4 linked regions of the Tamandua tetradactyla genome follow. The protein of the gene in region 4 interacts with the protein of the main gene of each other region in a biochemical or structural test. Links are inferred from orthologs where the notes say so. Each region holds a gene or a part of one and is shown on either strand. Other genes may lie near its edges. The genes, in order: MAPK7, RNF4, SENP1 and PML.

The links.
Region 1: the proteins of PML (region 4) and MAPK7 form a complex in vitro, tested with the Homo sapiens proteins (2 studies listed by BioGRID and IntAct, with this or other methods). The link is inferred for Tamandua tetradactyla from reciprocal best matches to the Homo sapiens genes PML and MAPK7.
Region 2: of the proteins of PML (region 4) and RNF4, one has a biochemical effect on the other in vitro, tested with the Homo sapiens proteins (3 studies listed by BioGRID, with this or other methods). The link is inferred for Tamandua tetradactyla from reciprocal best matches to the Homo sapiens genes PML and RNF4.
Region 3: of the proteins of PML (region 4) and SENP1, one has a biochemical effect on the other in vitro, tested with the Homo sapiens proteins (2 studies listed by BioGRID). The link is inferred for Tamandua tetradactyla from reciprocal best matches to the Homo sapiens genes PML and SENP1.

Annotation. Positions count from the first base shown.
Region 1 is NC_135332.1:2,656,033-2,664,131, forward strand, and holds the start of MAPK7 (mitogen-activated protein kinase 7), read right to left. Parts: upstream 3,180-8,099; 5' UTR 2,840-3,179; intron 2,726-2,839; exon of another isoform or gene 2,634-2,725; 5' UTR 2,623-2,633; coding exon 2,301-2,622; intron 2,291-2,300; exon of another isoform or gene 1,919-2,290; intron 1,581-1,918; coding exon 1,415-1,580; intron 278-1,414; coding exon 1-277. UniProt on the Homo sapiens protein: Plays a role in various cellular processes such as proliferation, differentiation and cell survival. The upstream activator of MAPK7 is the MAPK kinase MAP2K5.
Region 2 is NC_135345.1:2,218,102-2,225,835, forward strand, and holds the start of RNF4 (E3 ubiquitin-protein ligase RNF4), read left to right. Parts: upstream 1-4,260; 5' UTR 4,261-4,727; intron 4,728-7,734. UniProt on the Homo sapiens protein: E3 ubiquitin-protein ligase which binds polysumoylated chains covalently attached to proteins and mediates 'Lys-6'-, 'Lys-11'-, 'Lys-48'- and 'Lys-63'-linked polyubiquitination of those substrates and their subsequent targeting to the proteasome for degradation.
Region 3 is NC_135333.1:108,140,294-108,147,928, reverse strand, and holds the start of SENP1 (sentrin-specific protease 1), read left to right. Parts: upstream 1-4,300; 5' UTR 4,301-4,382; intron 4,383-4,394; exon of another isoform or gene 4,395-4,888; 5' UTR 4,889-5,014; exon of another isoform or gene 5,015-5,098; intron 5,099-7,635. Other genes in the region: PFKM (ATP-dependent 6-phosphofructokinase, muscle type), read right to left, coding at 1,818-1,940, 2,960-3,041. UniProt on the Homo sapiens protein: Protease that catalyzes two essential functions in the SUMO pathway.
Region 4 is NC_135338.1:68,045,720-68,053,979, forward strand, and holds the start of PML (protein PML), read right to left. Parts: upstream 3,033-8,260; coding exon 3,019-3,032; exon of another isoform or gene 2,932-3,018; intron 2,920-2,931; exon of another isoform or gene 2,882-2,919; intron 2,519-2,881; exon of another isoform or gene 2,203-2,518; intron 1,843-2,202; exon of another isoform or gene 1,786-1,842; intron 1-1,785. Other genes in the region: STOML1 (stomatin-like protein 1), read left to right, coding at 3,031-3,163, 4,944-5,050, 5,184-5,230, 5,833-5,920, 6,016-6,165, 6,449-6,652.

The sequences.
Region 1 (8,099 bases), on a different chromosome or scaffold from region 4:
GCGCGTGGCCACGTACTCAGTCATGAAGTACTGGTGCTCGGCAGGTGAGGTACACAGGCCACGGGCCATCCCGAAGTCACCAATCTTGAGCTCGCAGTTCTCATTCACCAGCAGGTTGGAGGGCTTGAGGTCGCGGTGGATGACCTGGGCGGAGTGCATATACTTGAGGCCACGCAGCAGCTGGTACAGGAAGTAGCGCACGTGCTCCAGTGTGAGCGGCTGGGAGGAGTGGATGATCTGGTGCAGGTCACTCTCCATCAGGTCCAGGACCACGTAGCTGCAGGGTGGGGAGTGGTGGTGAAAGGAAAGGCATGGGCTGGCCCTCTCCTGTCCAGGGACTAGCCCCACCCTCACCACTGCACCTGTGCCATTCAACACCCTCTCCCCCAGTCCCCGTAGAAGTCAACAACATGGTAGGGAAAAAGAGATCCAGGTTCCAAAGTCTCTATGCCTTTGTTATTGTCATGGTGTGGAGGTTTTATGGACCCCAGAAAAGACCAGTTACTTAACGCTAACCTATTCCTGTGGGTGTAGACCTGTTGTGGGTGGGACCTTTTTGTTAATATTATTTCATGGAGGCCTGCCTCAGGGTGGGTCTTAATCCTGTTACTAGAGTCCTTTATAAAAGGATGAGTAACAAAAAGACAGAAAAGCTGAGAGAGGAAAAAACACAGACACTGAGAGAGAAAGGCCACTCAGATGCTCAGAAAGAAAACCACAGACGGAGCAGCCAGAAGCTGAAAGCAACAAAGCCCAGAAGAGAAGGGAGAGACCAGAAGACGTCGCCTTGACAGACCAGCAGCTGGTCTTTGGGGAGAAAGCACTGCCCAATGATGTGGACAATTCACAGCCTCAGAACTGTAAGCTGTAAAGCAATAAATCCCCATTGCTAAAAGCCAGCCCATTTCTGGTATATTGCATTTCAGCAACTTCAGCAAACTAACATAGTCATGAACTTGGTTAGAGCTTTTTTCTCCCTGGATCTAGTTTCCCCATCAGACAAAAGAGGGGCTTGAGTAAACTGGGTATAGCCAATAGGTTTTTGTTTGGGGGCCATATCCACTGTCTGGCAGTGACTAATTGAAGGACTATGAGGAAAACTGCAGAGCCTTGTCCACTTCCTGTAGGAAAGCGTTTGGTGATTGCTTAGTGATGCCTGCCATGAGTGTGGGCAGGGGCAGTGGTGGCACCATACTAGATTCACCATCCTGGACTAACTACCCTGAGTTCCTCTAACACTGTGACATCTGCCCCCTTACTGGAGAATATCAGTTTCCCTGGGCAAATCCCTAAAGAAGCGCTTGTCCCAGAATCATGGGAATCTTCCCAGCCTGCCTTCCCCTGGATGCTGCTGCCCTTCCAGAACCTCGAAAGTATGGCCCCAGCTCAGCCCTCTCCCAGCCCCGCTCCTTACACAGACTTGAACTCGCCATAGGGCACCGTGGGCCTCAGGATGTCCTTGATGGCAATGATGTTGTCATGCTTGAAGTGTTTGAGGATCTTCAGCTCCCTGAGGGTCCGCTTTGCATTGGTCACCACGTCAAAAGCATTCGGGATCTTCTTGATGGCCACCTGCTGGCCTGGGGAACAGGGAAAAGGCAGACCTCAGGGGGTGAGGTTACCCAGGGGAAGCTGTGGAGTGACGCCAGGTCCCCCTTGGCTTCTGAGGTGCAGAGAGCAACAGCGTCTGTTTACTGAACAGCTTACTACGTGTGAAACCTTGTGCTGAACACTTTACACACGTTATCAGATCTGATCGGCACGACTCCCCTACAAAGCAGGCACCAACAGTTTAGCTTACGGCCAAGGAAACCTGGCTCGGTAACTCGTTGGGAGGTTGTGCAGCTAGCCTGTGATAGAACCAAGAGGCTAATACCTGTGCTCGCTCTACTTCCCCACCCTCCATCTCGCACCTCACCTATCCCCCCACACCGATCCCATGCACCAGTCTGTGGCTCTGAAATCCATGTCTCTCACAGACACCAAGAACTCTCTGTGCTGGCCCCACAGGAAATGGCATTCTTCAACAGAGGAAGCAGACGTCTACGGGTGATGGCAAAGTCACCGGATCAGACACTCAGGGGGCTGGACCCGATGGATCCTGGCAGACAGCCGGCACCTAATCAATACTTGCTGATTTGCACACTGAACTCCATATCCCGATTTTCCTTCCAAACTGAGCCTGGCCGGGTTTCTCTCCCTGGGAACCGGCTTCCATACGTGTGAGAGGCTGACTCACCCCCTGTCCTGGGGGAAGAGAAGGGAGGCAGGAGGTGGTTCCTCACCCCAACCCGGCATACCCGTCAGGCGGCGGCGCGCAGACGACACCACCCCGTAGGCCCCGTTGCCTATGGTCTCGATGATCTCGTACTCGTCCCCAACGTCGAAGGTCACGTCGAAGGAGCGCGCTTTGAGCAGGGCCAGGTTCTTGGCCACCACGGAGGCTGAGGGGTGGGCGGGTTCCGCCTTCACCCGCCCCGGGGGCTCCGCGGCGCCATCCTCGCCGTCCTCCTCCTTCAGGGGCTCGGCCATGGCGTCTGCATGGAGACGCTGGTCAAGAGGGGCGCGCATCCCGTGGGCCTCAGTTTCCCCTCTGTGGGCTAGGTGGTCAGATCGGGGCATCTCCAAGTCCTCTAAAGCAAGGGGGTGGGGGGAAGGCCGGATCGGGGGTCGAAACAGAGCGGCTGGGCGCGGAGCAGACGGGTTACACCTGCGAGTTGGGGTCCTGAGCACAGGGTCAAGGGTTACACGGAGGGTCAGGGTGGGGAGGCCGCAAGCCGCGGCCCAGGAAGAAAGGAAGGGGCGGGGCACTTGGGGTTTCCCTCGGGTCCACACTCACCGAGCGGAGCCGCACCCCGACGCCTCCTCAGGGCTCCCGCAGGCTGCCAGGCCTCCCCGGGCCTCCCTTCCCCACGGAGGGGGATGCCGAGAGTCGCTCACTTATTCAAGGCCCGCCGCCGCCACCACCTCAGCGTCGCGCTCTGCCCGCCCGGCCCCCTAAACCACGCCCATCCAACGCCTAGCCAATCGCCAGGCAGTTTCTGGGGAGGGTCCCGCCCCTCCTACGCGTAGCGTCCAATCCGACGCTCCCTGCGGAGGAAGCCACTCCTCCCGCCTGCACGCGCGCGCGCGCGCGCGCCACTGTCCGGGTCCCCTGGCAGGAGCCGCCCGAAGGGTGTGTGTGTACCTTGCTTCGCGTGAGTGAGCCTTCGCCCGGCGTCGTCCCTGACGCATGCGCGCTGGAGTCCCAGGCGCGGCGTGAATGGAAGGCCACGCCCCCGCGCCTGCACGCGCCTGCGCGCATCTAGGCTCGGCGCCCTCGCGGCCAATCCGAGATTGTCCCAGGAGCTCAAGGGCTCGTCGGGCGGCTGTCGGGCGGCTGTCGGCCGGAAGAGCTGTGAGGCGTAGGACTGTTACCTTGGAGACGGGTTCCGAAATCCTCCGCCTTTTGGCTCCTGTTGACTTAACGGTCCGCATCGCCCCGGGGATTGTGAAGACCCCAATTTCTCGTTCCCCGGAGGCCGGCTCTAGAAGTCCATCTTTCCCGGTAGAGGCGGGAATCGCGGCGAGGCGCGTCGGGTCCAACCATAGAGGTTTCGGTCCTCCGGGCGTCTAGAGCGGCCGGCGGATAGCCGCCACTGACTTCCGGTTGCTGGGCCTGTCCGCACAGCTTCCGGCATCCTTGGGCCTCAGCTCCGTGTTCTGTTCTTTGCGGGTCGGTGCTTTCTTCTCTCTCCCGCACTTTGGGCCGCGGGCCGAGCCGTCCATCCTCAGAGACGTGAGGGCAACTGACACGCGAGAATACCGAGCCCGCCCTGGGAGCGAGTCCCCTGAGCCATTCCGGAGCCCGACAGTTCCTTCGTTCGCGTGGCAAAACACTTGGGGAGCACGGTCCCTCTAAGGCTCATGCTGAGGAGCAAGGGCGAGCGTGGTGGCGCTGTGAACTGGAAGGAAAAGTTTTCATAGGAGAATTCGAGGTAGGGCGGTAAAGAAGAAGTGGTTTTGGAGTTAGGACTCTGGAGATGGCTGGGTTTCCCGCAAGCGAGTTGAAAAGGAGGAGGGGCTCAGGAAGCTGGGGAAACGGGGAGTGAGGAGGTAGGAAAGTAGAGGAACGCAGAGATCTGGATGAGGTTCGATCATTAGAGCCTGAGTGCCAGGCCGAGGGTTTGTGTATTCCTGAGGTCGCAGACCAGTGGCTGACGGACTGGATCTAGGCGAGAAATGAGTTTTGGTAAGCCTTTGCTCATTTTTCCCCTATTGATATTCCCCACCGATTTACCTGGCTGTTTTTACTTTTACATCTCACTAAAACCTACGTATAGAAAATTTCACATATCATGTGTACAGCGCAATACAGTTTACAAATTGAACATAACCTGTTTTAATATGCATTCAGAGAAGAAAAAGAACTTGACGAGCCCCTCAGAAGCCCCTCTTCTTTTCTGATGGTGGCAGTTATTTCTGTTAACTCTTTTCCACGCTTTTTTTTTTTTTACCCCACTTTTCTTTTTAACACTAAGTTTTGAAAGCTTTACTGAGATGCCTACAATAAAATAGGGAAGTTCAGGGTCAGGAAAAATATATTAGGTCCTGCAAAAAAAAAAAAAAAAAAAGATAAAAAAAAAATTAGAAGTATTAGATTGCTTCAAAAAGCAGACAGAGAGTAATGGAGGAACTGAGTGACAAAAGTATAAGATGCAAAACATACAAAAAAGTGGTAAATGTTTGAAGCCCTAGCTTATCGGTAATTTTATTAAATATAAATGGATTACACTCTTCAGTCAAAGACAGAGAAAGGCAAGATGGATTTTTAAAAAGTGTGAGCCAAAATGTAGGAAAAAATTCCATGCAAATAATAACCAAAAGAGAGTTGGGGTGGGTATTCTAATATCAAACAAAATAGACTTTAGTTAAAAACTGTTACAAGAGACAAAGAAAATATATATTGACAATAGTGTCAATTCATCACAAAGTTGTAGCAGTTTAAACATGTATGTACCTAATAACAGGACCCAAAAATATATGAATTGAAGGGAGACAGTTTTACAGTAATAGTTGGAGATTTCAATACACCACTTTCAATAATGGGTAGAGAACTCAACAGAAGATAAATAGTGAAATAGGTGACTATAAACCAACCAGACGTAACAGGCGTATATGTGATGCTCCAGCCAACAATTCCAGAATACACATTCTTCTCCAGTGCACACGAACCATTTTTCAGCTTAGATAATACATTAAGTTACAAAACCAGTTCCATTAAATTTTAAATGATTGAACTCATGCAAAGTACCTTCTCTAGTCATATGGAATGAAACGAGAAATCAAGAAACAAAACTGGAGAATTGACAAATATGTGAAAATCAACACATTCTTAACCAACCAACAGGTCAAAGAAGAAATCACAAGGATATTAGAAAGTTCTTAGAGATTAATGGAAATAAAAACATAACATACCCAAACTTTCTGGATGCAGCAAAGAGTGCTCAAAATGTATAGATGTAAACTTCTATACTAGAAAAGATTTCAAATCAATAACCTAACTTCACATCTTTAGGAAAAAGAAGATTTAGACCCAAAGTGAGGAGAAGTAAATAATAAAAATGAGAGTGGAGATAAATGAATTAGAGACTAGAAAAGCAATTGAGAGATTCAACAAAGCCAAAAGTTAGATCTTTGAAAAGATGAATAAAATTGACAGACCATTAGTTAAACTGACCAAAGAAAAAGAGTGAAGACACAAATAACTAAAATCAGAAATGAGAGTGGGGCGTTACTACTGACCTTATAGAAATAAAGACTATAAGGCAATACTATGGAAGTATCCCAACAAATTTAATATAATCTGGATGAAATGGCAAATTCTTACAAACAAATTACCTACATGAATCAAGACAAAAGAAAATCTTAAAAAAAAGAATATTACAAGTAAAAAGTTTTTATCAGGAATGAGAAAACGTCCCAACAAAGAAAAGTCCAGGACCAATTATCTCCACTGGTAAATTCTACCAGACATTCAAAGAATTAAGAATATCAATCCTTCTCAAATATTTCCAAAAAAAAAAAAGAAAAAATGAGAAGGAAATGCTTTGTAGCTCATTCTGTGAGGCCAACATTATCCTTGTAGCAAAGCCAGAAAAAGACATCACAAGAAAATTACAGACCAGTATCCCTTATAAATATAGATGCAAAAATCATCAACAAAATGCTGTCAACTCCAACAGCATATCACAAGGATTATGCACCATGTCTAAGTGGGATTTATTGCAGGAATGCAAGGTCGGCTCAACATAAGGAAATCAGTGTAATAAACCACATTAATATAACAAAGTGGAGGAAAGGATGATCTTGATGCAAGAAAGCATCTGACAATATCCAATACTCTTTCATGATAACACTCAGAAAATGAGAAATAGGGAAGAACTTCCTCAACATGATAAATGGCACTTATGAAAAACACACATCTAGCATTATATTCAATAGTGAAAGACTGAAGGTTTTCCCCCTAAAAACAGGAACAAGGCAAGGATGCCCACTGTCACCATTGTGCTTCAATATTGAACTGGAAGTTCTAGCCAGAGCAATTAGGGAAAAACAAGAAATGAAAGTCATCTAAATTTGAAAGGAGGAAGTAAAACTATTCACAGAAGACATGATCTTATATAAGAGAAAATCCTGACAAATCCCGAAGAAAACCACCGGAGCTATTAAGCCAATGCAGCAAGGTTGCAGGGTACAAGACCAATGTGCAAAAATCTGGTATTTCTATGCATCAACAATGAGCAATCTAAAATAGAAATCAAGTAAACAACTCCATTTATGAGAGCATCTAAAAGAATAAAATATCTAGGAATAAATTTAACCCAGGAGGTGAAAGACATGTACACTGAAAACTACAAGACATTGCTGAAAAAAATTAAAGACCTAAATCTTTTTTTTTTTTTTTAAGATTTTCTTTCCTCTTGAATCATTTAGGTAATTTGATTGTAAGAATTTATTTCCTCTAGATTATATTAAATGTGTTGAGTCCATGCATTGGAAGACTTAATATCATTAAGATGTCAGTACTACTCAAAGTGATCTACAGATTCAATGCAATCCCTATCAAAATTCATCAGCCTTCTTTGCAGAATGGAAAAGCCAGTCCTCAAATTTATATGAAATTGCAGTAAGCCCTAGATAGGCAGAACAATTTTGGAAAGGAAGAAAAAGTTGGAGGTCTCACACTTCCCAATTTCAAAACTCCCTACAAATTTGCCATAATCAGAACTGTGTGGGGTGGGCCACAATGGCTCAGCAGGCAGAGTTCTCGCCTGCCATGCCAGAGACATGGGTTCAATTACTGGTGCCTGCCCATGCAGAAAAAAACAAACAACAACAAAAAAAACTTGTGTGGTATAGGCATAAGGATAAACAAATGTAGACCAAAGGCATAGAATGAAGACCCCAGAAATAAACTCACACATTTATTGCCAAATGATTTCCCACAAGGGTGCCAAGTACATTCAATGGGGAGAAAATAGTCAACAAGGGGGTCTGGGACAACTGGATGCCCACTTAGAAAAAAATGTAGATGTAGTCCTGCCTCACACCATATACAAAATGAAGTCAAAATGGATGAAAGACCTAACTAGAAGAATAAAAATATTTATTCCTTCCTATATTCTGGAGCACCTAGAAGGAAAAATTTGAGAGGATGGTTTGGTAGCCCATGACAAACTCTGGGATCTGTCCTGTAACTACTTGGTGAAGAGTACTTTGAAAACTTGCTTTTTTTTTTTTTTTGTATATATGTTATATTATACAAAAAAAAAAAGTTATTTAAAAGCATAGATGTTCTAGTTTGCTAGCTGGTGGAATGTGATATACCAGAAACAGAATGGCTTTTACAAGGGGAAGTTTATTAACTTGCAAGTTTACAGTTGTAAGTCCATGAAAATGTCCCAATTAAAACAAGTCTATAAAAATGTCCAAATTAAGGCACCAACAAGAGGTTATCTTTGTTCAAGAAATGCTGATGAAGTTCGGGGTTTCTTTCTCAACTGGAAAGGCACATGGTGACTATGGCTACATCTGCTAGCTTTCTCTCCAGGCTTCTT
Region 2 (7,734 bases), on a different chromosome or scaffold from region 4:
GGAAGAGGGGCCTTCTCACCCTACTGGCACTCTGGAAGGAAACATCTCTGTCCGCAAGGTCCCTGGTCACCTCTGCCTACTGGTCAGAACTGAACATGCCACTGCTGAGCCAGTCCCTGCAGCAGGGGAGTGTCTGCAGGAGTCCCTGAAGCGAGCACTGTGGCAAGACCAGGAATTACCTGTCACCTATCAGGCTGACCCCTGGAGCAGAGAGGTGATGCTCAGAAAAACAATTGGGGTGCTTTTGGCAGCACTGTTCGTTGGCAATCAACAAGGTTTCCCACCTTGCCCCGCCCTCGGGGACCTGGGAAGCTGCTCAGAAAAGGTGTGAGGGCACCTACAGCCTTTTCCAGGGACCCTGCCCTGAACAAACCTGGGTGGGAGCAGGCCTTGGACAGGCCTTGTGTGGGAGATCGGTGGTACACACACCCCTTGCCATGTGACTTTTCACCTCCTCCCGGTGAGGTGCAGACTGCCTCTCCCAGCCCTTGCATCCAGGCTGGCCCTGGGGCTTGCTTTGGCCAACAGGGTACAGCAGAAGTGGCCATGTGCCAGTTCTGAGCCCAGGCTTCAGGGGGCCTTGGAGCTCCCACTTGCTGTCCTGGAATGCTGCCCAGCCAAGGGCAGACAAGTAGATAAACAAAATGTGGTATATACATACAATGGAATATCATGTGGCAATAAGACAAAATGAAATCCTTACGCATATGACAAAAATGGATGAAACTTGAAGACAGAATGCTGTGTGAATTAAGCCAGACACAAAAGGATAGATACTGTATGATCTTGCTATTATAACCTTAGTGAAGGTAAACTCAGGCTTATAATGTAGAATATAGGGGACCTAGAGATACATACAAACTAAAGATGGGTGAAGGGTTAGCTACTGAGGTTGAACATAAATATAAGGGAATGGATAGAAATGAAGGTGGTTCATTAAAGTAATATGCCATATTGAAGGTGAACATGATGACGGGTTGTACAGAGCCAGGTATCCTACTGATCAACATTACAAATATAAAATTCTTGCATGAACTACTTCAAAGATATGGATCTTGTACAGAGAGTCCATAATAGAGGCATATGGGGGAAAACTACTCTTGCGTGCAATGGGCTATGTTTAACAGGAACCCATCAACGATAACACAGCAATATCAGGGGTAAGTATTGGGGGGAAGGACAAGAGTTAAGGGGAGGTTTGGAATTTCTATGTGGTGAGAGTGTGTTTATCAGTTATTTTTCCCTTTGGAGCAATGAAAATTGCCTAAAATCGAGAGTATAATGTTACACTATTAAGTGAGGATAATGTGAAACATGGACTGTTGACTTTGGGCATTGGACATGATGCCCAATGGATGAAGGTGGCTGAAGAATGCACTGACTGAGAAGTAGAATGGCAAACTGTGCTGTATACATGATGGGATATTGTGGAGGCTACAGAAAGAATGAAGTCATGAGACATACAACAAGGTTAATGAACCTTGGGGACATTATGTCATGCAAAATAAGCCAGAAGTAAAACAACAAATATAGTATGATCTCTTTCAGAAAATACGTGTAAGAAAATTGGGGCCTAGTGTAAGCTCTTAAAGCAGTCACATTTAGTCCAGAGTTGTAAATGTTATTTCTAGATTTTGAGTTACTGTGCTGTATATGTTTAAGCAGGTATCTCCCTGGAAGTTTGGCTATCTGTATGACACCTAAGACTCAGAGCTGGAGTTCTGCAGTGCTAAAAGTCAGCATTGCTACATACCACAACTGTTAAGGAAACCAAAAAAGAGTTCAGGCTTCAAGGACAGAGAAGAATGAAGCTGATCTGGTCGGGACTAAGGTCAATTAGAATACAGGGTAAACAATGACATCGTATTTTAGAACTTCATCTACTGTATGAGACCAAAGAAAGAGAGGTTTATTTTGTCCAAAATCTAAATTTTCTGTAGCACATACTCTAACTCAACCTATCTGGACAGATCATTTAAACAACCCAAACACACAGAGCCCAGAATGGGAATGAGGGCTTGTTATTCTGTATAGCTTAATGTAAGGCCTGGATACATCCCAGAGTATGTTGGGCAGTTAATTAAAAAGTATTGGCAAAGTGCCTTGAGGGACAGGAGAAAACTATGGAACTATTAGGCTTTACTATCAGGGAAACCCCTAAGACTGTCTCAAACTTTAGGGACTCCCAAGTCAAGGCCATGGACTTGATCTTGAGGCTTGCGCTTATAAAGCTTATTTCTGTAGCCAAGAAACAAAGCCTACCTATAGTTATGCCTAAGAGTTACTGCCAGAAAACCTCTTTTGTTGCTCAGATGTGGCCTCTTTCTCTCTAAGCCCAGTCCTGCAAGTAAAATCATTACCCTCCCTGCTACATGGGACATGACATCCAAGGGTGGAGGTTTATGGCAACATGGGACTGGACTCCCAGGGATGAGCCTGGCCCTGGCGCCCTGGGATTGACAATGCCTTCCTGACCAAGAGGGGGAAAAGAAATGTTACAAAATAATTTTATCAGTAGCTCAGAGAGTTCAAATAGAGTCAAGAGGCTATTCTGAAGGCTACTCTCTTATGCAAGCTTCAGCTAGATATTGCTAATTACCCTGGTGTGCCAAAGTCCAACCAACACCTTTCCTGTTAAACCTAAAGAGAGCCTAGGGCTCTAAAAGTCTGCAAAAGTTTCATGCACTAAGATTACTTTCCAGAAACCTACAAGCTTAAGATGGTTCCTGCTAGATAAGTCCTGAAACCCAGAGGGGACAGCCTCTTCAAGTACCTCAACTAGTTCCACCCCCCATCCCTTATTATTGACACCCTCTTTCAACATGAAAACGTTAGAATGGGCATAGCCCAAATATCCGTAAAGATTGGGAGAAGTATCAAAGGAGGAGGAGGAGTCGTAAGGAAGAAGATAGGATTTAACAAATGAGTATGATTTATATTATATTATAAACATTATATTGATATTCTGTTTAGTCTCCAGTGCTTGGAGCAGTTAGAAGGAAAAACCTAAAATTGTGGCACTGTAATCCATACTGAACTCTGGAATCTGTTCCATAAGAACTTGCTACAATACACTTTGAAATTTATTGCCTTTTTTATATATGTTATATTTCACAATTTAAAATTTTTCAAAAACTCAAACCTTCAACCCATATTTTACAATGGAAGCAGATTACATGAAATTCAAGCAGATTATTGGTCCATGTAACTCAAAACTACTCATGCTCTGGTTATGATCTGCTGGTATGATCCTCACCTAACTCAATATTCCTGGATTGAAGATCCCTTGAGGAGACAGCATTTGGGGTGTCCTTACTGCCTGGGGGTGCCTAGGCACCACAGATGATGGTCAACAGGGACAAGCTGGGTTCCTTTTCCTGGTTGCCACGGCAACAGTCCCTCCAAGCCCAAGTCCAGGCCTGGGTCCAGGTCCTAGACCGATGCCTCCTGTCCGATTCTGACCTGTAGCCCTCACCCAGGGCCTGGCATGCCCTGTACACTGCTGTGCGATGTGTGCCCCACGTTCTCCCTCTGAGGATAACCCAACAGTTGAGACTTGATTAAATGACGGCGCTGGGATTCAAACCCGGGAAGTATGCACTCTTTTGAGCCTGGAGTTGCCTGAAATGCCCCCCAGAAGCTCCTGACAGCTCCAGGCGTCAGCCACTAAAGCCCCTGCCTCGGTCACGGTCTCTTTCGAAACCTCGACCCCGTCTCAGTGCTCCTCCACGGGTTCAGCTCTGACTTTTCTGACCCACTACCCTCCCACCTGGCACACCTGCTCCCCAACCTGCCTCCGGGCACACTGCGCAGCCTTCAGCTTCCTGGACGTATCAGGGTTCTGGGACACAGGACCCCTCTTGCTGGAGCGCTCTCCTTCCAGCCCCCAGGTCTCTTCTGCCGGGAGCCCTCCCGGCCTTCCAGCTGCCGTGCCTCCTCGGGTTCCCGCTCATACGCTTCCTTTCCAGGCGGCCGCGAAAGGGTCCCGGGATCAGGCCCTCGCCGGGAGAGAGACGGATTCGCCGGGCCCAGGGCCTGGCTCATCGTGGGTCGCGGGCTCCCCGGAGAGGCTGCAGATCCAGGGCCAGTTTCCGGCGGGCAGCCTGGGGGCGTCGCTCCAGGAACGCTCTCCGCAAAGGCCTACTGAACAGGAAGGGAAACTGAGGCCCAGGGTGAGGACGGGATTAGGCCGCGGACTAGTGTCCAGCCCCACGCGTTGTCCGGCGTGCCGGACTGTGACCTAAGAGGAGTGACTGGGGGGCGCTGAGCTCCGCAGACCACAAGCGGGCCGGCTCGGTCTGCGGGCTGCCGGGGTCACCAAGTCACGCGCCCCCGGCCCACACACCACAACTCCCGAGATGCCACGCGGTGGAGAGCCGGTCCTCCTCGGCTCTCGCGGAAACATGGGAGCTTGAGCGGGAGGACGTGGGTGGGGCCGGAAGGAAGCCCTTTTCAAAGGAGTAATAGATAGTTTTCCTAGCCAATAGGATTGAAAATATGATTTCTCCGCCTATTGGCCGAGGAGGTAGGGGCTGTGGCGACCAATGGGGACGTGCAAGGGGCGGAGCCGAGGTCTCCAGAGCGGAAGTAGCCCTCTGTTTAGGCGGCGGCGTCTTGCTAGTTCTCCTCCGCGGTTTCCGAAGGTGCTTTCTCTGCGGGCTCGTTGGCGACGGCGCTGCGGGACTAAGCCAGCTCCACGTAAGGCCAGGCGTCGCGGGCAGGGAGCGGTAAGTCGGCGCTCCGGCAGATGCGGGGTTCAGGCTGCCTCGCGGCCTGCACAGGCCTCATTGCAGGGGCTCGGGGAGCTGCCCTGGCGCCACTCAGGCCAGCTCGGAGCCGCCCCCTCAGGGATCTCGGCCGACTCCCCGATCTCCGGCCCGCACGGATGGACGGAGGCCGGCGCTGGCAGCGGAAATGGGAAGGCCTCCCTCCGCCCTCGGCGCCCCGCAGCGGGCCGGCCGTGGGCTTAGCCTGTAACCTACGGAGGGAAACTGAGGCTTGGGGAGGGCACCGGACGCGTCCAAGGTCACTCGGAGAGGCGAGCCGGGGCAGCTCGGGGCTAAGGCGCGGGCCTGTGCGGGCCGTTCCGGGGGAGCCGTTGCGGGGTTTTGTTCCGGGTGGCGAGGCCTCCTTTGTGTCGTGCCGCCGTCGCGGGGCCTGTGTGGCCGCCTCGGTGCCTGGACCTGGGGGTGCTCCCTTCCCCGACTTGAATGGGGAAGCTTACGGTGCGGGTGGGGGGGGGGTCGGATCCTCCAGAGAGCGTCCGCCCGGCGCCTAGCTTCTAGGAGCCGCGCGGCTTCGGGCAGCTCCTTCCTACCGGGGGTGGGGGGGTGGGGCGGGAACAGGCTATGGAGGCCAGGCCCCCGCGCCTGGAGCGCCTACTCCGCCCCTGCGCCCCTGTAGTCAGGGGTATGGAGATTATTCAGATTCTTAAGGCCTGAGATTCGAAACACTATACACAAAAAATACCCCCTTTTGATCCGTTCGGGGAGAAGGAAAGGAAATTGAACCTGGGGGAGCCTGCGGTGGCTGTTTTTTGTGTGTGAAATTTCGGCTTTTGTCTTATCCTTGCTACAGCCCATCACATTCCCAATCCTTCCTCCGCTCTGCGCCTGCACCGAGTGCCCAGAGGCAGTCTCGGGGTCTCAGCTCTGCAGTCTTCAGGCGCAGAGTGCCCAGAGGCAGACTCGGGGTCTCAGCTCTCAAATTTAGTCTTTGCACTCAAATTTAGGCTCCCTAAGTGGTCGGGGAACTGAGGCCCAGAATGGTGGAGCGATCTGCCCGAGCTAGTTGGCGTTACAGCCCAGGTTTCCTGGCTATGGGACCAGGCTTTTGAGGTCAGTGACCGAGAGTTTCTGGAGCCACTGGTAACGAAAGGCGGGTATGTTGGCAGCAATTGCTTTTCTGATGGTTTCCTTTTGAAGGGGTGGGAGACTTGTTGGGCTCAATTTTATCCATGCGTTTGAGGTGAAATGGGAACGTTGAAGTGGAAACATGTACTGCTGGCCTTTCTGTTGATTTTGAGCTCTCTGCTCTGACTCAAAAATGTTCCTTTAGTACAGTGTTTCTCAATCTTTATTCCATGATTACTCCCTAACATCCTTTCAGGCTTTTTCCAGAATTACTTCTACCTTTAAATTTCTGTGCTGCATATATACTATGTTTTTTTTTTCAGATATGCGTTCTACACCTCCCTTTCTTTCAGAGTTTTCTGTTATACCTACATATGCCTCCTGAACTTGTCCACATTTTGCTGTTATTCTGTTGTTTTTCATCTTCTCTCTGTTTTATTTTAAACAGTTTCTGTTTTTTTTAACGTACTGCATGTGTGTCTGTGTTTTTTAGTAAAAACGCTATTAGAGATTTTTTGCCTCTTTTGAGAGTGCATGCTTTAGTTTACTAAGTCAGCACATTCTTAAGGTGATCTCTGTGCCAAGCTTTCTGCTTGGGTTACAAGATAACATGGGGCTGGCCGTTGTGAAGCTAAGTAGGGAAGGTGGAGAGAGTGAGAAAAATCCCCGGCAGTTGAAATATAGGTTGAGAGAGATGTGGTGTGTCAAGAGTTGAAACTGCAGAGGTAAGCAGGCACCGGACCACGAAGGGTCTTGATCTTAAGGCCAGTGGGAGACTACTGAATTGAGTTAATAAGCAGAGAAGTAACACAGTTTGCATTTTAGAAAAACTGCTATTCGTGAAAAGGATGAATTAGAAAGGTAGACAAGAATAGTGGTCCCTGGGCCACAGTTAGGAGGAAATAGAGGTAGCTTAGCCAGGGGTTGAGTGAAATGATGGAGTCAGGAACGTGGTATCTGTGATGGTTGCTTGGCAATCACTGTTCTTTGCTTACAATTCTTCTGGGAAAAAAATCCAGGTGCTACTCAATAAAAATATGTGCATAAAGTAATTGGTTTATATGATGTGTAAAAATGGATTTGCGTGTATATGTTTTGTCTTTATTTTGAAATTATTTACCTACATCTTTAACTGTACCCAAATTTGTGGTCTTTGAAGGATAAGATCGCTCATATAGACTGTTATTGGGCTGACCCTTTATCATTGAGGTATGACTTGCATCTGTATTCTTTCAGCTTGTCTCTCCTCAAGATCCTGTTTCTCAGGTGGGCTGCAGGCATTTTGAGGTTTTCGTTGAGAACAAGGGCCCAGAGCACAGCTCTGCCCCAAGGTAAGGGTTCAAGTTTGAGAAAACGTGAAGTTTGGGTATAGGGATGGGAGTGTGGGAGTGGAGGTTGCTGCTGCAAGGATCAGAAATTTCCTCTGGAAGTGTTTTGTTTAGTTTTTTCAGGCATAAGTAAGAACTGCCGAGTTTATTGGGTATCAGACATGAAGAGTAGGAAGGGCCTGGAAACTTCTCAATATTATCAGTAACTTGTTGTGCAAGAGAAGCTGTGACCGTAATGGTTTCCTGGAGCAATTATACCACCTGGTTTCCTGGTATACCCGCTAGAGTAAGTTAACTACAGCGTGTGCCTCCAGATAGCTGAATAAATTGGTTTTCTATATAGATTGATTTGACATATGCGAATTTAAAATTGAAAAATATCTGCTGTATTGCAGTCTTTAATTTTATGAGTGTAACAGCAGTTCTTTGTGATGTTAGGAATGTGACTCAGTTTTCTGTAGGGGTTACTCTTTGCTTGCGAACTAATAGCATCCCGGTTTAGTGAGTCCCTACTTATCTCTCACAGAGCCACCCTGCCAGGTGGGTGTGGTTAT
Region 3 (7,635 bases), on a different chromosome or scaffold from region 4:
AACTTCATAAGGGCAAGAAAGTATCTGTTTTACTATTTTATCCCTAGTGCCAAGTACAATGCCTAACTGTTATATGCCCAACAGATTTTTTTTTGGAAGGAAGGAAGGAAGATGGGGGGGGGGGCAGGGAGGGCAGGAGGAGAGAGAAAAGACATTGGAATAAATTAGCAAGATATTTTATTTCCCTTCTCTAGTGGCAATGTTGGGAGAGTTAAGAGTGGCTCTTACCTGAGGCCTCAATGCTTGAAGCCAATAGTTGAACATCAGAATTTTGTCCATGGGATAATGCTGAGATCAAACCAGAGAGGCAGATCCAAATAAGTCATCAGGGCAAAGGGGGTCTGAGATAGGTATTATTAGTATGGAGCAAAAATGAGAATGGGAAAAGCAGGGAAGATGAGGGCAAATAAGTAATAATCTGTATAAATTTCAGAAACAAGAGGACAAGGCCACCAGTTGGATTTATTTATTGTTTCTGGCAACTTTGTTTTGCATGGGCAGAGCAAGTGTGATTAAAGGGACATAGACCACACATACTTGCCATGCACAAAAAGATATATTTTGATTGCTCCAATATTTGAATAGTTATTTTTATATAAAAATAATGTTCCTGTGAGTCTGGTGAACTCTAGGCACACTAACAAGACAATAAAATTTGAGTTTATGCAATTTCAAAGCTCAGGAGTGGATGGTGCTCTGTGAACATGCTGGAGCTCAGTGAAGCTCTGCCTAAACAGTCATTTGATTTCTCCATTTCCTACTTCTCTATGGCATCTTCTTTTGAAACTGGACGTTTTAGACCAAAGTTATCAAGCTCCTAACTGACACATTGTTTCATATAACCTCTTCTTGGTTGTAAGCTCCTGGGGGATAGGGAGCTTTTTTTTTTTCATTTCTACTGAGCCAACGCATGCACACACACATACACACACACAAACAAAATGACTTCAAATACAAAGTACTGAAAAAAATTTTGCATAAATACTGCTATGTGTTTCAGAGATACTGGGAGAAATTACTCCAATGAAACCACCAACTTGAGAAACTTTTTAAAACCTGCATTTCTTCTGAAAATATAAGGCGGTTGGACTAAGTAATCCCTAAAGTATTTCCAAACTGTAAACTATTGGGACAATGACAAGAATATGTCATATATTTTTTACAACCTATCATTTCTAGTATAATATTGGGCACATAGTGGTAACTCAGTATATGTTTACAGTGAACTAATTCTAATATAGATGTATTTCTATACACACATGTGTTTCTGAAGCATCATGTAAATTGCTTATTAACTGCACATTACTTAAAATATATAAGAGAAATTTGTTATTAAATAGATTCCTAAGGTAAATATTTTCACAAAATTTGGAATCTTTTTTTTTTTTTGCATGGGCAGGCACCAGGAATTGAACCTGGGTCTCCAGCATGGTAGGCAAGAATTCTGCCACTGAGCACTGTCGCACCACCCTGGAATCATTTTTAATATAACTCCTTAACTTAACCCCTTTTTTATTTCACATTTTTACATATCAAGGTTGCTGACATAGGGTAAAACAAATTAGTAGCTTACAGTTATGAGGGAGTAAACTGACTTTTTTTGACTAATGCTATTTTTCATAGAGAAAAATGTTCCTCTTTCTACAGTTTCCCAGCTATCCTCCTACTCTCTTATACATACACACATATACTATCTCCCTAGGTTTTAAGTCATACTTCAGCTTTGGTATCTACCTCAATTTATAATGCTACCCACAAATGTTTCACTTTCCAATAACCTTTCCAAATTTCACCCCTTGTTTACCCATATGCCTCACCGTTTTTCAAAATAGGTATGCCATCCACGGTGCCTGGATCATCCATAGTATTTAGACTCTTCAAGGCATCTGTCTCTGGTGGTGGCTTTTGTATGAGCATGCTTGAGGTTGAAGGTTCCCCAGCTAGGAAGTAGTAGCTTTAGGTTACCCTCAAGGTGGGATTCAGGGAAGGGAATGCTCCTTACTTCCTTCCATTCTCCCTCTAATTCCTGGCTGTCTAGGGCCTTCTTTCCAACAATCCAGTGAAAAATCAGAGAGGTGATGATTCTTTTCAATAACTATCTCACCTCAAAATGGTTCCTTTGATAATAAAACTGGGGAAAAAGTAGGATACATAGTAGACTGGGGTGAAAGAGGCCAGTTTTCTTTTGGAGCTCAATTTATCTTTTAGGTTTTGGAGTATCAATTACAATGGCAACAACTCTCACAGATGAGCCTGGACAGGTTTAAAGAATTCTACAAGCTATCAAAGCTTGTTCTCCTCGATTTCCAAGACCGCCCTATCTGCCTGGGGCCTATCCCCACATACCAGTTCAAAATCTCACCTGATACTTGTACAAAGAAAATATATGACTGAGAGATATAATATCTTGCCATAGTGGTAACAGATAAACAAGTTCAGTTGACCCCAAAGGTCTGTATTAATATGCTGGGGACAATTAAAGTAGCATGTATAAATTCCACCCTCAGCATGCCGGAAACATGCAACATGGCCGCCAGGGCTGAAACAAAGAACAGCCTAAGCTATAATCAGCCTTCTTCACGGAAGTAGTAGTAGTTCACACCAAAAGTACTAGCCATACATCTGCCCTCCACCCTAGCAACAGCAGTCACCAATCCCAAGTCATCCCTTCGTCCTTATTCACCCAATCAGAGATCGCCACCTATCCCTACTAGCTACCCCCTCTCCTTCTAAGTATATATACCCAGCCTTTTCAATAAAATTTTGCAGCTTGATCAGACTACTTGTCTTGCTGTCATTCTTCGCGTCTCTTTGTCCCATTTCATTCTTTCCTCAAAGTAGTTAGAACCTCGGTTGATCGTCCCGCTGGCCAGGACATTAATACTAGTAATCCTGCCTTTGTGATGCCCTGTGAGAGAACTCATTCTCTGTCGCAGAAGTATGATTAGGAGAATGGTACCTGTGCTCTCTGGAGTCCTGACTAACTGTCGAGATTGAATCACACACATGAAAAATTTCAGATGAAATTCCTCTTTATGCATGGTTGTCTCCTAGAAATAGAGGAGAATTCAGATGAAATGAACAGATCTATAGAATGATTAAGATGGACAAAACTGATATGACCGTATATGCTCAAAACTACTAGGCCTTAGAACTTGACAGCAACAAAAATATTAAAATATGTGAAGTAATAAAAGTAACCTACTCTTATGCTTTTGATAGGACATGATCCCCTGAACTCATCAAGCACCCTCTTTTTCCTGCTGCTGAGAGTATCTTTTCTGATACTCCAGACACCTTCCTTAAGTTTGACCTCAGATGGTAGCTGTGAACTAGATCTGGAGTGAGTACATAGATTAATTCTTCAAGACTTTAGCCATGGCCTAGGTCCAAGGCCCAGCCAAGCTGAGGGGGCTTCATAAATGATCCGAATTAAAGACATGCTTCTTTCCATTATTTTCTTTTAAAAAGTACAGCACAGTTTACAAGTTGACCAATGGGGTTCAAGGTACATCAAGGCCACTTAGTCCATCAGAGGTTACAGTCTCCTGGGTTCTTTCCTATCTCTTCTTAGAAAAGTAGATCTTTCGTGGGTTATCTATAGTTTTCCTGACATGTGTGCCTGTGTTTCAAACTGCCCCAGATTTCTAGAAGATTCTACATGTCCCCAGAGTCTAAACTAAACCCTTCCCAAGAGCTTTCTTTTTGCCGGATGGCCAGTCAAGCATGCTGTAGTGCAAACAGTACAGGATTACAAATTTGTAAACTTGTTTCCCAGTCCCAGATATGCCATGCACTTTATAACTTTGGGAAAACAATTCGCTCCTCTCATCGGTTGGAATAAAATATTTCCAATAATCTCTAACTAACGTTCTGCGACTCTCGATAAAACACGGTACAGCCTGAGATTCGACTTAAAATTCAGGTCCCCATCTGTCGGGGACGCCAAACGCTCCCGCAAAATCTAGGACCACAGCAAAAAGCAGCCATAGAAATCGGAGAGTAAGCAAAAATGGCCGTGCGGAACCAGAAGGTGGCGGATACGGAGGCCGAGGGAGCAGAGAAAAGCTGAGGACGGAGAGCGCACTAATAATATTCCAATAATCAGAAACAGAAAGAGCCAAAACTGAAACTTGAAAAGGGAAATTATAACCACAGCCTTTGATGCGCTCGCCACACTGCGCAGGCGTTCCGTAGGTCCTCAACTCTGATCTTTGACCTCCTGCCCCCACCCCACCCCACCCCTTCTCTGGCCCCCTCCTCCGCAGCCACCGAGCCGCTCTTCCGGTGTTGTAGAGGTGGTTCCGGTTCGTGGCGGTTCCCGGGTTTTGCGTTCCGCGCCCGGCCGGAAACCCCTTCGCATAGCAGCCGGTTCCGGTTCGGTGAGTGGCGGCGGGAAGCTGGGGGAGGGGTGAGGATGGAGGGAGCCTGGGCCGCGAGGCAGTGCCGGACCGGGCCGGCCGGTTTGGGCTGGGCGAGGCAGAAGGGGGAACTGCTGAGGCGCCGGCATCTTTTCCTCTGCCCCGCCCCCTGGGACACCCCCCACCTCCCACCCCCCTGCTGTCCACCAGCCGCGGTCAGGCCGGCGGCCGTTAGTTAGGCTTCTGAGGTCGTTCCTTCAGGCCTTCTCCCGGACCGCGCAGAGTCTGCCCCCCTCCCGGTATCGCAGGCCCCGTCTCGTGCTCGGCCTTACTTGTGGGTTAAGGCCGGTTGGGACTCCCGGGCTTTCCCGCCAGAGCGGGGGCTTCTTTCAGGGGAAAGCTGTTTTCGTCGGGAAGCTCAGCTTTCCGTCACTCTTGCTTCACCTCCCGCCTTCCTTGAGACTTGAGGGAGCTTTCTCGACTACTACTGCGATTCACGTCAACATTTCTCCAACTCTTTCACTCAGTGATATTTCCCTGAGATGTGATAATCGCTAGTTCCACCGCCAGAAACAAACGTCTGGACCTTCCTGTCCGGGTTGTGAAAATCCCCTTAACTGCCACAGTTTGCTTACCTGGCTCATCGCCTCCTGGTAATCCCCTTGAACCGTCTCTTTCTTGGTGTGCTCTAACGTGATCTCTCCGGATATATGCTCAGTTTCTCTTTTCTTGAGCTTGGTGATTTCTCTTTATCGGTGCCTCTGCAGTATTTCCACTATCCGTTGGCAATAACTTTACACTTTATCACTTTTAAGCCAGCCCAGTTAAAGTTATTTCCCTTCACGTTTGGTACTTTTGATATTTGGGATGGTGATTCTTGTAACATTAATAAAGAGCCTTTCATAGGCTACCAATTATTTGACTTAAAAGTCCTTGTTCTAATTGGATATCCTAAATGGAGTAAATCTCATCATCTCCCAAATCTTTATCCTTCATAAAAATATTTTGTGTTAAGGACTCGTGTTGGAATGCTGATTACATGGCATTAAGAAAATACAGTTACAGTTAAACCTTAAGCATGATCTCTTAATCTTTCAGTTTAGAGATTCCTGTCTTTTTTTTCGTCCAGTCCCTTTCAGGAAGCCTCATTCTTTTTTGTTTTGAGAAACCTCATTCATCTTTACCTGATTCCAATTAATTATCCCCACTGAGAGGATGTTCTTGGTGTCACCCATCTGATGAGTTAAGTATAGAGGGAGTGAATGGATTTCAAAACAGGTTCTGCTACTTCAGGCTTAAGTGATGTAACTCTTGACTCCTGATATGGGAGCCCTTTTTTCCTCCTGACTCCCTCACCTACCAGTTGCACCACTTTATTGTCTTGCTATGGGTCTGTTTATGGATTTAGCTTCCCCCACTAGACAGTGAGTTTCTCAGTGCCAGGGACCATCTTTGAATACCCAGTACCCTGCACAGCCTGTAGTTGACAGTGTTTGCTGTGTGAAAGAAGTTGAATACTTAGTCTTTCCCTTTTTGTTGTTCTAGTGTCTAATTGGGATATATTACATGTAAAAATATGAAAAACAAAATAAAATTTGTAAGGTTTTAGGACAGATTATACCATTTACGTAATTGTTTTCCAGAGCTCAGGGGAGGGTGATTCATGTGATCATTTCTACAGTCTTCTTATGTCATAAATTGTTCTAATCACGTCTTGATCCTAGCCGAAGCTAATTGTATAATGCTTCTCCTGGTGTATATTTTCCAGTAACTTTATCTTAGCCCTAAACATATTCTTTTTCATACCTCCATACATGTATGCAAACTTTCCAATGCTTTTCCATACTTGTTATATTCTATTACAGTTAGGACTTTACCAACCTTTTTTTTTTCTCTCTCAGATTTCTTATTACCTTGCATTCAGTTACTAACCTGATTTCACCTGATACTTATAACTTCTTATGTTTTTTCAGTAAATTTAAGTGGTCACTGTGTACTAGAAAACTAATTATTAGAATAATTTTCCTAAAAGAACAAAAACTCTTACGCCCACAAAATGCATTTGAGCTACAGGACATGAAAAATCAAAATTGTTGATTTTAAATTGTAGAATCTTTTAAAATTGGATTCACTTATTCCTAATTTCTCAGACACTGACAAGATTATAGAATGTTTTCATTGGTGGCCTCAAAAATTATAGATCGAACATTTCATGGAGAATCTTGAGGTAAAATATCCCTTCCACCAAAGTAATTGTAGATTGGTAAAAATACAAGTACACTGAAGAAGGTGGATGTGTTTTACTAAAATGTGAGTGTGGGACCTTATTTGAAATTATAAATCACTATGGATTCTCCAGGGTTAGTGAGGGATTACTTTTATCTTGCCAGTGTGTATGAGCCCTTAAATGAGGGTATGAAGGGTATGAAGCTTTGTTTGTGAAGGGTGTGAAGTTTGTTTCATAGTGCATTTGCTCAGGAGTCAGGATACCTGGATTCTTGTCCTCGTTTTGTCCTTTATGTGTATGATTTCAGATAAGTCATTTAACCTCTCTGGACATAATCTAAAATTATTTGAATTTCTAGCTTTCTTCCTCTTCATGGCCTTCTAAGGAAAATGCAAAGGAAGTTAACATGAGTGTGTTCTTCTGGGTACCAAATTTTTAATTGACATTCTTCTTAATACCAAGAAAGGGCTAATGATTACAATTATGAGGTCGTTTCGAAAGAGTGAAATGTGAAAAAGCCAGTGTTAATTTATTTATGTTCTCCCTTAATCTAGGGCCCAGGAAATTCTACCTTATTAAAAAATGAAAGAATACCTGGACATTTTCCAGATAAAAGCCTTGTATTAAATGGAGTATTTGAAAATATCTTTGAAGCATAAATCTAAGGCTTAAATTATTTGGGAATCCTCCCTGGCAAGGCTAGGTGATCAGATGATTACTAGTCTTTAACTATGCCAGGAATAACTCAGTCTTCTTTTGTGTGTACATTTTGTTATTGTGACCACAAAGAATGCCTATTACCATCTTCCAGTCTCCTGAATACATTGAAGCCTTAGTATTGCTGTGTAGTTGATGAGGTGCTCAATCTTTTAAAAAATATTGTGGAAGAAAAATACTGTGATATGATTATGAATCTATATAGGTATGAGTAGTACCATCCCTCTTCTTCTCCTCTTGGTAATCTGCTAAGAAGTTCACTTGCCGAGGATGTGTTTATTAAGCTAGATGCAAGCAGACTTTTAATTTTTTTTTTCTATGAAAAGTAGG
Region 4 (8,260 bases):
ATATTTGTACAGTCACTCACAGTTATCTTGGAACAGACTAGAAGGGATGACATCTTAGTTTTGTAGGCTACCATACAAAGTACCTACCACAAGATTCACTGTGTTATACATTATCATGTTTTAACCTCCAACTTTCTTTCTGTTGACATACATGACTCTAAATTTCCCATTTTCACCGCATTCACACGCAGTTCAGCACCATTAATTATTTGGACAATAATGTGTTACTGTCACCTCTATAAATTTCCAAATGTTTAAGTTCACCCTAGTTAAATATTCTGCATGTATTAAGCAACCGCTCCCCATTCTTCAGCCTCACTCTATTTCCTGGCAACCAATATTCCATATTTTATGTCTATGAGTTTACATATTATAATTAGCTCATGTCAATAACATCATACAATATTTGTCCTTTTGTGTCTGACTTAATTCACTTAATGCCCTCAATCCATATTGTTGCATACTTCAGGACTGCATTCCTTCTTACAGCTCAATACTATTCTATCATATGTAGATACCACATTTAGTTTGATGGACTCTTGAGTTGTTTCCATCTTTTGGCAATTGTGAATAATGCTGTTGTGAACATCGGTGCGCGGATGTCTGAATATCTGTGTGGAGATATCTGTTTGTGTCCTTGCTTCCAGAAGTGGGTATATCCTGAGTAGCAGAATTGCCCAACTATAAGGCAACTCTATGCTTAGCTTCCTGAGGAACCTCCAAACTGTCCTCCACAGCAGCCGTACCGTTTTACATTCCCCTTAGCCATGAATAAGAGTTCCTGTTTGTCCACATCCTCTCCAACACTTGCAGTTTTCTGTTTGTTTGATAACAGCCATTCTAGTAGGTATAAGATGATATGTAATTGTGATTTTCATTTGCATTTCCCTGATAGCTATGAGGCTGGTCATTTTTTTTAATGCGCTTTTTAGCTATTTGGAGCAGTACCCATTTTTCTGCTCAGTTCCAACTTGTAACAGACTAGAAGGGATGACATCTTAGTTTTGTAGGCCTACCATAACAAAGCACCTACCACAAACTAGGTGGTTTAAAACAACAGAAATTTATTGTATCACAGTTTTGGAGGCTAGAAGACCAAAAGCAAGGGGTCAGCAGTGCCAAGCTCCCTCTGAACCTGTAGGGGAAAATACTTTCTTGCCTCTTCCACCTCCTGGTATTTGCCAGCAGTCCTTGACTTGCAGCTGCAGCATTTCAATCTATGCTTCGGTTGTCACATGGCATTCCCCCCTCTTGTGTCTGCCCATCTCTACCCAAATTTCCTTCTCTTATAAGGACAGCACTCATAGTGAATTAGAGCCCACCCTAATTCACTTTGGCCGCATCTTAACTATTTATATCTTCAAAGATTCGCTTTCCAAATAAGGTCACATTCACGGGACTAGAAATTAGCCCTTCAACATATTTTGGGGGGGGGGGAAACAATTCAGCCTATAATATATGATGTCAGGGCCTTGCTCTTGTGAAGTTTATAATCTGGGGGTAATTTATAATCCATTTCCCAGGGACTGGGAGGCCTGTGGTGGCCCAGGGCCTGGGCCCCTTCCTAAACAGCGTGCAACAAGCCTGCTTTAGCTAAAAAAGTAAACAATTTCTCTGGAGGTGGAAGATTGTAATCAGATGTAAAATCGCCATTGATGGTATCAAACACTAATCTCATAAAGTACCAATGCTTAAGTCCCTTTAATGATTCTATCAGAAGCCTGATGTTCTCATACTATACGGAATATCTTTGTTCTGAAATCATATTGCCCCTTGTTCCCTCAGTCCTGCATGGAGCACTATTCCTCCAGACCGGCTGCCACCCGAGAATCTCTCCTGTTTGTAAGTCCCAATAACTCTCCTGCGCCTGGCATGTTTTTTCGGTCTCACAGCAGCACCAGCCCATGCTGTCCACGAATAGGTCTGCACCAGAACAAGGCCTCAAAATAGCCTTAGCCTCCAGCCAGGATAGCAGCCTGCTGTACCCTCCAGTCTCGTCAGAACCCCCAGGGTTTAGAATCAGGCTGCTCTCTGAGAACCCAACTAAGAAAAGCTAGAGAAGGTGGGCAGCCCTGGAAGTGGACTATGGCAAAGGGCTGAGGGGCCTGGGAGCCAGGACTAGCCTGTGGCTGAGACAAGGAAAGGAAAGTTTTATTCTTTTCTTTGCTTCCTTTGAAAGACAGCCTGCTCTGAACCTGACCAACACCCAGTTGGGCGCGGTTGCTTCTCAGAGTAAATTCCTCATTTGCATTTGGGTTTTCTCAAGCCTTGGAGAGGCAAGTTACCTCTGGGTAACTGGATCAAGGGCCATGGTGTTTCCCAACAGGCAGGACTGAGGAGCTCTCCTCTGTGATGCTCTGAAGGACCTGCCCTCTGGATAGCTCCAGGCTACCCGCCTTCCTTACTCTGTCTTTCTCCTTGAAGTCTACACATGGAATTTTCTCTTTTGGAGCCAAAGTTCAGGCATCCCCCGCCCCCGCCTTGACCACAGTGACCTGGTAAGGACTTCATTCAACAAGTAAGTACTGAGCATCTGCCATCTCCTAGTTGCTGGAGAAACATTAAGCCTAGATAAGGAAAACTAGTCACCCCTCCTACCCATCCCCTGGGTCCCGCCCCAGTGGAAGAGAGTTTACAGACGGAATGCTGTGAAAGCTGATAACAGCATATCCCTGATTCGAGAGAAGATTCGGCCCTGAAAACCACCTTACAAAGCCCAACTTTCTTCCTGCTCCTTTTCTAAGGCCGCGGAGGAGACAAGAGGAGCAGGCGCGGACCCCTGTCTGCTCCCAGGAAAGCCGACCCCCGCCCGGTAGCCGCAGTTCGGTCCTCCAAGGGCAGGGGGCGCAGTGCAACGCTGGGAGCGGGGCCTGCCTGCCTCTCCCTCCTGTGCACCGGCAGCGACGGGTGGCCGCGCAGGTGAAGCCGGAAGCGGCGGCCCGAGCGCAAGCGCGGCGGGGGCGGGGCAGTAGGGCCCGCCGTTCAGCCGGGCTCTGCCTGGGGCGTGGGGCGTGTCACCTGGCAAGCGCCATGCTCGGCAGGTCTGGCTACCGGGCGCTGCCCTTGGGGGACTTTGACCGCTTCCAGCAGTCGAGCTTTGGTTTCCTGGGCTCGCAGAAGGGCTGCTTGTCCCCGGAGCCGGGCGGCGTCGGGCCGGGGGCGGGTGAGTGGCCGCCCAGCACGGCGGGCCTCGGGGTGGGGTTCGGTACTGGCCGGCGCACGCAGGCCCCAGCCCCTGTACCTGTTGGGAGTCGGCGGACCTGGCGTCCTGGAGCTCCAAGAGGATGGATGGAGAGGGGTCCTGGACCTGGTATTAGGGTGCCGGCGTTGTTGCATCCTACCTGGTGGGACCACTGGGCTGCGGCCCCGGAGCCAGCGCTGCTTCCATCTTACAAAGCCTTACCCCACCACATGTCTCCTCTGCCTTTATCTGCCTTCTACGCCTGGACAGAGAGTTCAAGACCTTATTTTGCAGTGTAGGCAGAGGAGGTCACCAGCACCTTAAGGATACTTGACTGCAGAGAAGTGAAAAAATCTTCACCCCAGAGGTCACCTCTGGAAGCCCTGGGACCAGGCGTCTCCCTGTTTCCCTATTTCCTGGTGCTGCTGGGACCTCAGAGCCCTACACTGTCTCTTATGTAGTTTCCTTGGCTTGCAGGCTTGATGCTCCACTTCTCAGCATGACAACCAAATTCTGGCCTTACTCTACTGTGCTTATCCCAGGGTTTCTGTTTCTTCTGCAGGGATCATGTAGATCACAGCCAAGCAGGGAATGAGACTTAGATCCCCCGTTGCTTGGAGAGCCATGGCATTCCTGGAAAGATGGAGCAGAGACATGCCTGTTTCTTATCCAGGGTTGGGAAAGGAGAAAGCAGAGTAATTTTATCCCATAGTCTGGGCCTGTCTGGGCTGCACTCCCATCATGGGATCCTGCCTGGTTCTCCTCCAGGGATCAGGATCTCTGCTCAGATGAGCCTCATTTTCTGAGGGCCTCCCGCCACCTCCCACCTGAAGCTGCTTGAAAGTAAATTGTGTATGTGATAGTCCTTAGGAATAGTGAACTAGAAAAGAACACTCTTTCTGTTCATGAGCCATTAATGTTTTATCCCTTTTAGGCCAAGATGTTCTCTCCAAACCCTAGGAGTGATGGTAGAGGAAGAGTATGTTATGTTTGCAGCATTCAGTTCAACCCAGCATGCAGTTACAGAGGCCCATGTGCTCTTGGCTGTGTGCCAGGTATAAGTAGGCAACGTGAGTTAGACAGGGGATTGACACCTTCTCTTCCCAGTGAGGTGAGCATCTTGTGAATTGGATTGCCAGATTCAATGGCTGTTGCATAGCAGAAAATAGAGCCTTGTGGGCCTGGGACTTGGGACTAGTTTTTTGTTTTGTTTTGTTTTTTGGCTTTTAAAAGGGGGAATTTAAGAAGTTACAAGTTTGCAATTCTAAGGAAGTGAAAGTGTCCAAACTAAGGTGCCAACAAGAGGTTGCCCTTACTCAAGAAAGGCTGATGGGTCAGAAACACATCTGTCAGCTGGGTAGTCATGTGGCTGGCATCTGCTGGGCCCTTTGCTCCTGAGCTCTGTTGCTTTCAGCCTATGTCCCTGTGGGCGTTCCTCACTTTACTTCTCTGGGGCTGGCCTTCATTTCTTGGCTTCCCTTGGCTCTCTCCAGGTTCTGGCTTGCTTAACATCTCATGGCAGTGTCTGTGGGCTCCAAGCATCTCTAAACATCGCGTCTCCTTTCTCCACTTGGGGCAAGTTAGTTTTAATGCATGGAAAGAGAGAACAGTTCCTACCTAGGGCCATTAGACCAGGAGGCTAATTGAAAGCCTTGAGAAAGAAGGCACCTCTGAAGCAGGAGGTAGGCAACTTGACTACCTTCCCTCAGCCTGTGGCTGTCCTGCCTTGGCATTCTATGACTCACTTTGCTCTCTCCCCCAGAGGTGCCCCAGAGCTGGTCCTCCTGCCTCTGCCACAGCCTCATCAGTTTCCTGGGGTTCTTGCTGCTGCTACTGACCTTCCCCATTTCTGGCTGGTTTGCCCTGAAGGTAAGGCTGGGCCTCCTTGACCGCTTTGGCATCCATGAATGAATCCCTCTTCCTCTGCCCCCTCCTCCTAAATATTCCACTGTCTCACCTTTGTGAAATGAGCTGGGCAAAGCTTGTTCATTCCATTTTCCAGATGAGGAAACTGAGGCTCAGACTTGTCCAAACTCCTCCCGGGCACTAGTAAGTGTTAGAAACAAGTCTCCCCAAACCCCCAAGTCCTGGGCACTGCTTTAATTTATGGTTCACTTGGATATGTTTGCCAAATCTTCCTCCCTTTGAGTCGGGTCAAATTAGAAATGAAAAAGAAATCAACTTGGCCTAGGAGGTAATGAGTAATAAGGAATTCAGGCACTGCTTTCAGCAAGATGTGGTGTAGATGGGAAAAGGATGATTAATAGGGTTGTCAGTGAAGATTATGCCTGAAAGCAGCAGTAAAGTTGAAAGTCTGCCCTTTGGGTGTCCCTAAGCCTCTGGGTTTAGTGTGGCCTAGAAGAGAGTCATTAGAAGGTTCTAGAGCCTGGTTCTAAAACCACCACTGAAGCAAACGCTTTATGACCTTGGCCCAAGGTCCTTTTGGGCCTTCATTTTTCAATTTGGACAAATCTCCTTCCCTGAGGGCTCCAGGCATCAAAAGTTGGCAAAGGCAGATGGTTTCTTGGCATGAGCTTCAGACAGCAGTGGTGAGAAGTTTCCCTGAGGATCAAGTCAGTACAGTGTGGTGGATAGAGCATGGCCTTTGGAATCATTCGGAACTGAATTCACACCTTGCCTATTTTACTTAGTGGCTGTGTGTTTTTGAGCAAGTCACTTGATGTCTCTGAGCCTTGGTTTTCTCATCTAAGAACAGAACTAAGGATACACTCTGACCAGGTGAGGGAGAGAGAGGTGCCAGAGGGACCTGGGTAGAAGTCATTGGCTGGCCTGAACTCACCACTCTAAATCCTCTCCCTTGCCGTTGTGGACAGATCGTGCCCACCTACGAGCGGATGATTGTGTTCCGACTGGGCCGTATCCGCACCCCCCAGGGCCCTGGTATGGTCTTGCTTCTGCCTTTCATTGACTCCTTCCAGAGGGTGGATCTGAGGACACGCGCCTTCAGTGTCCCTCCCTGCAAGGTGAGAGACGAAGGGAGTAGGGGCTTGTGCAGAGTGTAGTGTGGGTACCAGGGCCTTGGCCTGTGAGTAGCCAACTGGGGAGGGAGGGAAGATGAGACCAGAGGATTGAAGACAGACACTGGAAGGACATCCTCGTGCCACATACCTAGCCCCACGTACCTGAGGGCCAGCTGCCGGGTGGCTGGGTCAGGCCGGGTGCTGCCAGCAGGCCCGGTCTCCCTGCACCTCCCAGCCTCTTGGCCTGGTCCTCTCGTGTGTCCTCCCTCGTGGCTTCCCCTAACAGCTGGCCTCTAAGGACGGGGCAGTGCTGTCTGTGGGGGCTGACGTCCAGTTCCGCATCTGGGACCCGGTGCTGTCGGTGATGACTGTGAAGGACCTCAACACAGCCACGCGCATGACAGCCCAGAATGCCATGACCAAGGCCCTGCTCAAGCGGCCGCTGCGGGAGATCCAGATGGAGAAGCTCAAAATCAGCGACCAGCTCCTGGTAAGCAGCCCAGCTGCCCCGCCTCGAGGAGCAGAGCTGGCCCCCGGCCCCTATGTGTGGCTCTGCCTGCTGGGTCACTTTGAGCAGAGCACAGGTTCCTCTGGGCCTCAGTGTTCCGTATATCATATGAGTGGACTAGCCTTTGAAGATCCGGTGAGACTGTGCTTTGAGGAACGGCAGGTGGGTCCAGAGCCCAGCCAGCTTGGGCAAACATGTTGCTAAGGAGTGAAGTGGCCCTAAGAAGAGGAAGTAACTTGGGTGGAAATTCCTGGCACCCTGGCCCTTTCTGCTGTTATTTTACCCTTCACTGCTCTGCTGGGCCCGGTGGTTGCTGTGACAACAGTGGGCCTCAGGGAACCTCTGTACCCCTTGGGCCCCAGGTCTGACTCATCTCGTGGGACAGGCCGATGGGTGAAGAGCACGTTCCTTTCCATGGCCCAGTCACCTCCTGGGCATGTGCACTTTTGTGCTTTTGCTTTCTTTGTTCTGAATAGAAGAAAGTAATGTGCAAATATTTGGACCCTTTTCCTGTCTCTCCTCCATATATATGAGAATTTATTTACCCTGGAATAGCCATCTTGAGCCCTTGCTGCAGAAAGATAGAGTAGAAGTAAATGCACACTCCTGAAAAAATAATATTCATAATAGTAATAATGCTCTAAGGTACACAGCATTTTATAAAGTCCTTTTGCCTGCCCCTATGTATCTCAGCTTCACATTTTTGCTGCAAGAAGCTAGGTGGTATTGTTTTATTTTGGAGGGAGGAAACTTGAGGTTCAGAGAAATTACTTGACTGGCCTTTAAGGCGTGGTCAAGGGCAGAGCTGGGCCAGAGTGCCAGACCACGTGACACCCACCCCCCCACCTCAATCCAGTGCTGATTTGAACACAACTCATTAACAGGTTGATAGCAATTTTTAGTTGTAAACATGCACACCTTTAAAACACCCTTAAGAAGGGAAAATTGACCTCAGCATTGTAGCACACTGCCTTGCTGTAAGAGAGGTAGTTTGGGGAAAATCAGTCCCACACTGGGATGTTAGACTTGTTTAGTGCCCATTGCCCAGATGGAGTTGGTTGGCACCTGGTAGTGTAAGGTCAGTGTCTCTGGCTAAAACTGAATCTTAGGAACTATTTTCAGGTGTATGGATCTAATTCTCCCTCTTTTGGCTACCTTCCATTTCACCTGGGTCCCTCCTTAGGGGCTTACCCATTCCTGTAGGGCTGACAGCTTCCACCTTTGATGCCTCCTCCACCTCCACCCCCACCCCGACCCCAGCTCCCACTCTGCAGCAGGCCTTGCCTCTTGATCCTCGGGAGGAAAAACTTTAGACCAGAGCTCTTTCACCCTCTTCCCAGCTTCCTCCCTCAACCTCATCTACATCTGGGCTCTTTCTCCTGCTGTATTTGAAGTATCTTAGAACCCCAGGTCTCAGGTTCATCCCCGCACCAGACAGTGCTCTGGCAGGACAGCTCCCTCCCTTGCTTGTGGTCCTCTCCTTCCTTGTCTTGTCTTCATCATTATCATCTTCTTCTTCCTCTACCTCTTCCTTTTCTTCCTCTTCCTCCTCTCTCTCTCTCTCTCCCCCCCCACCCCCTTTCTGAATAG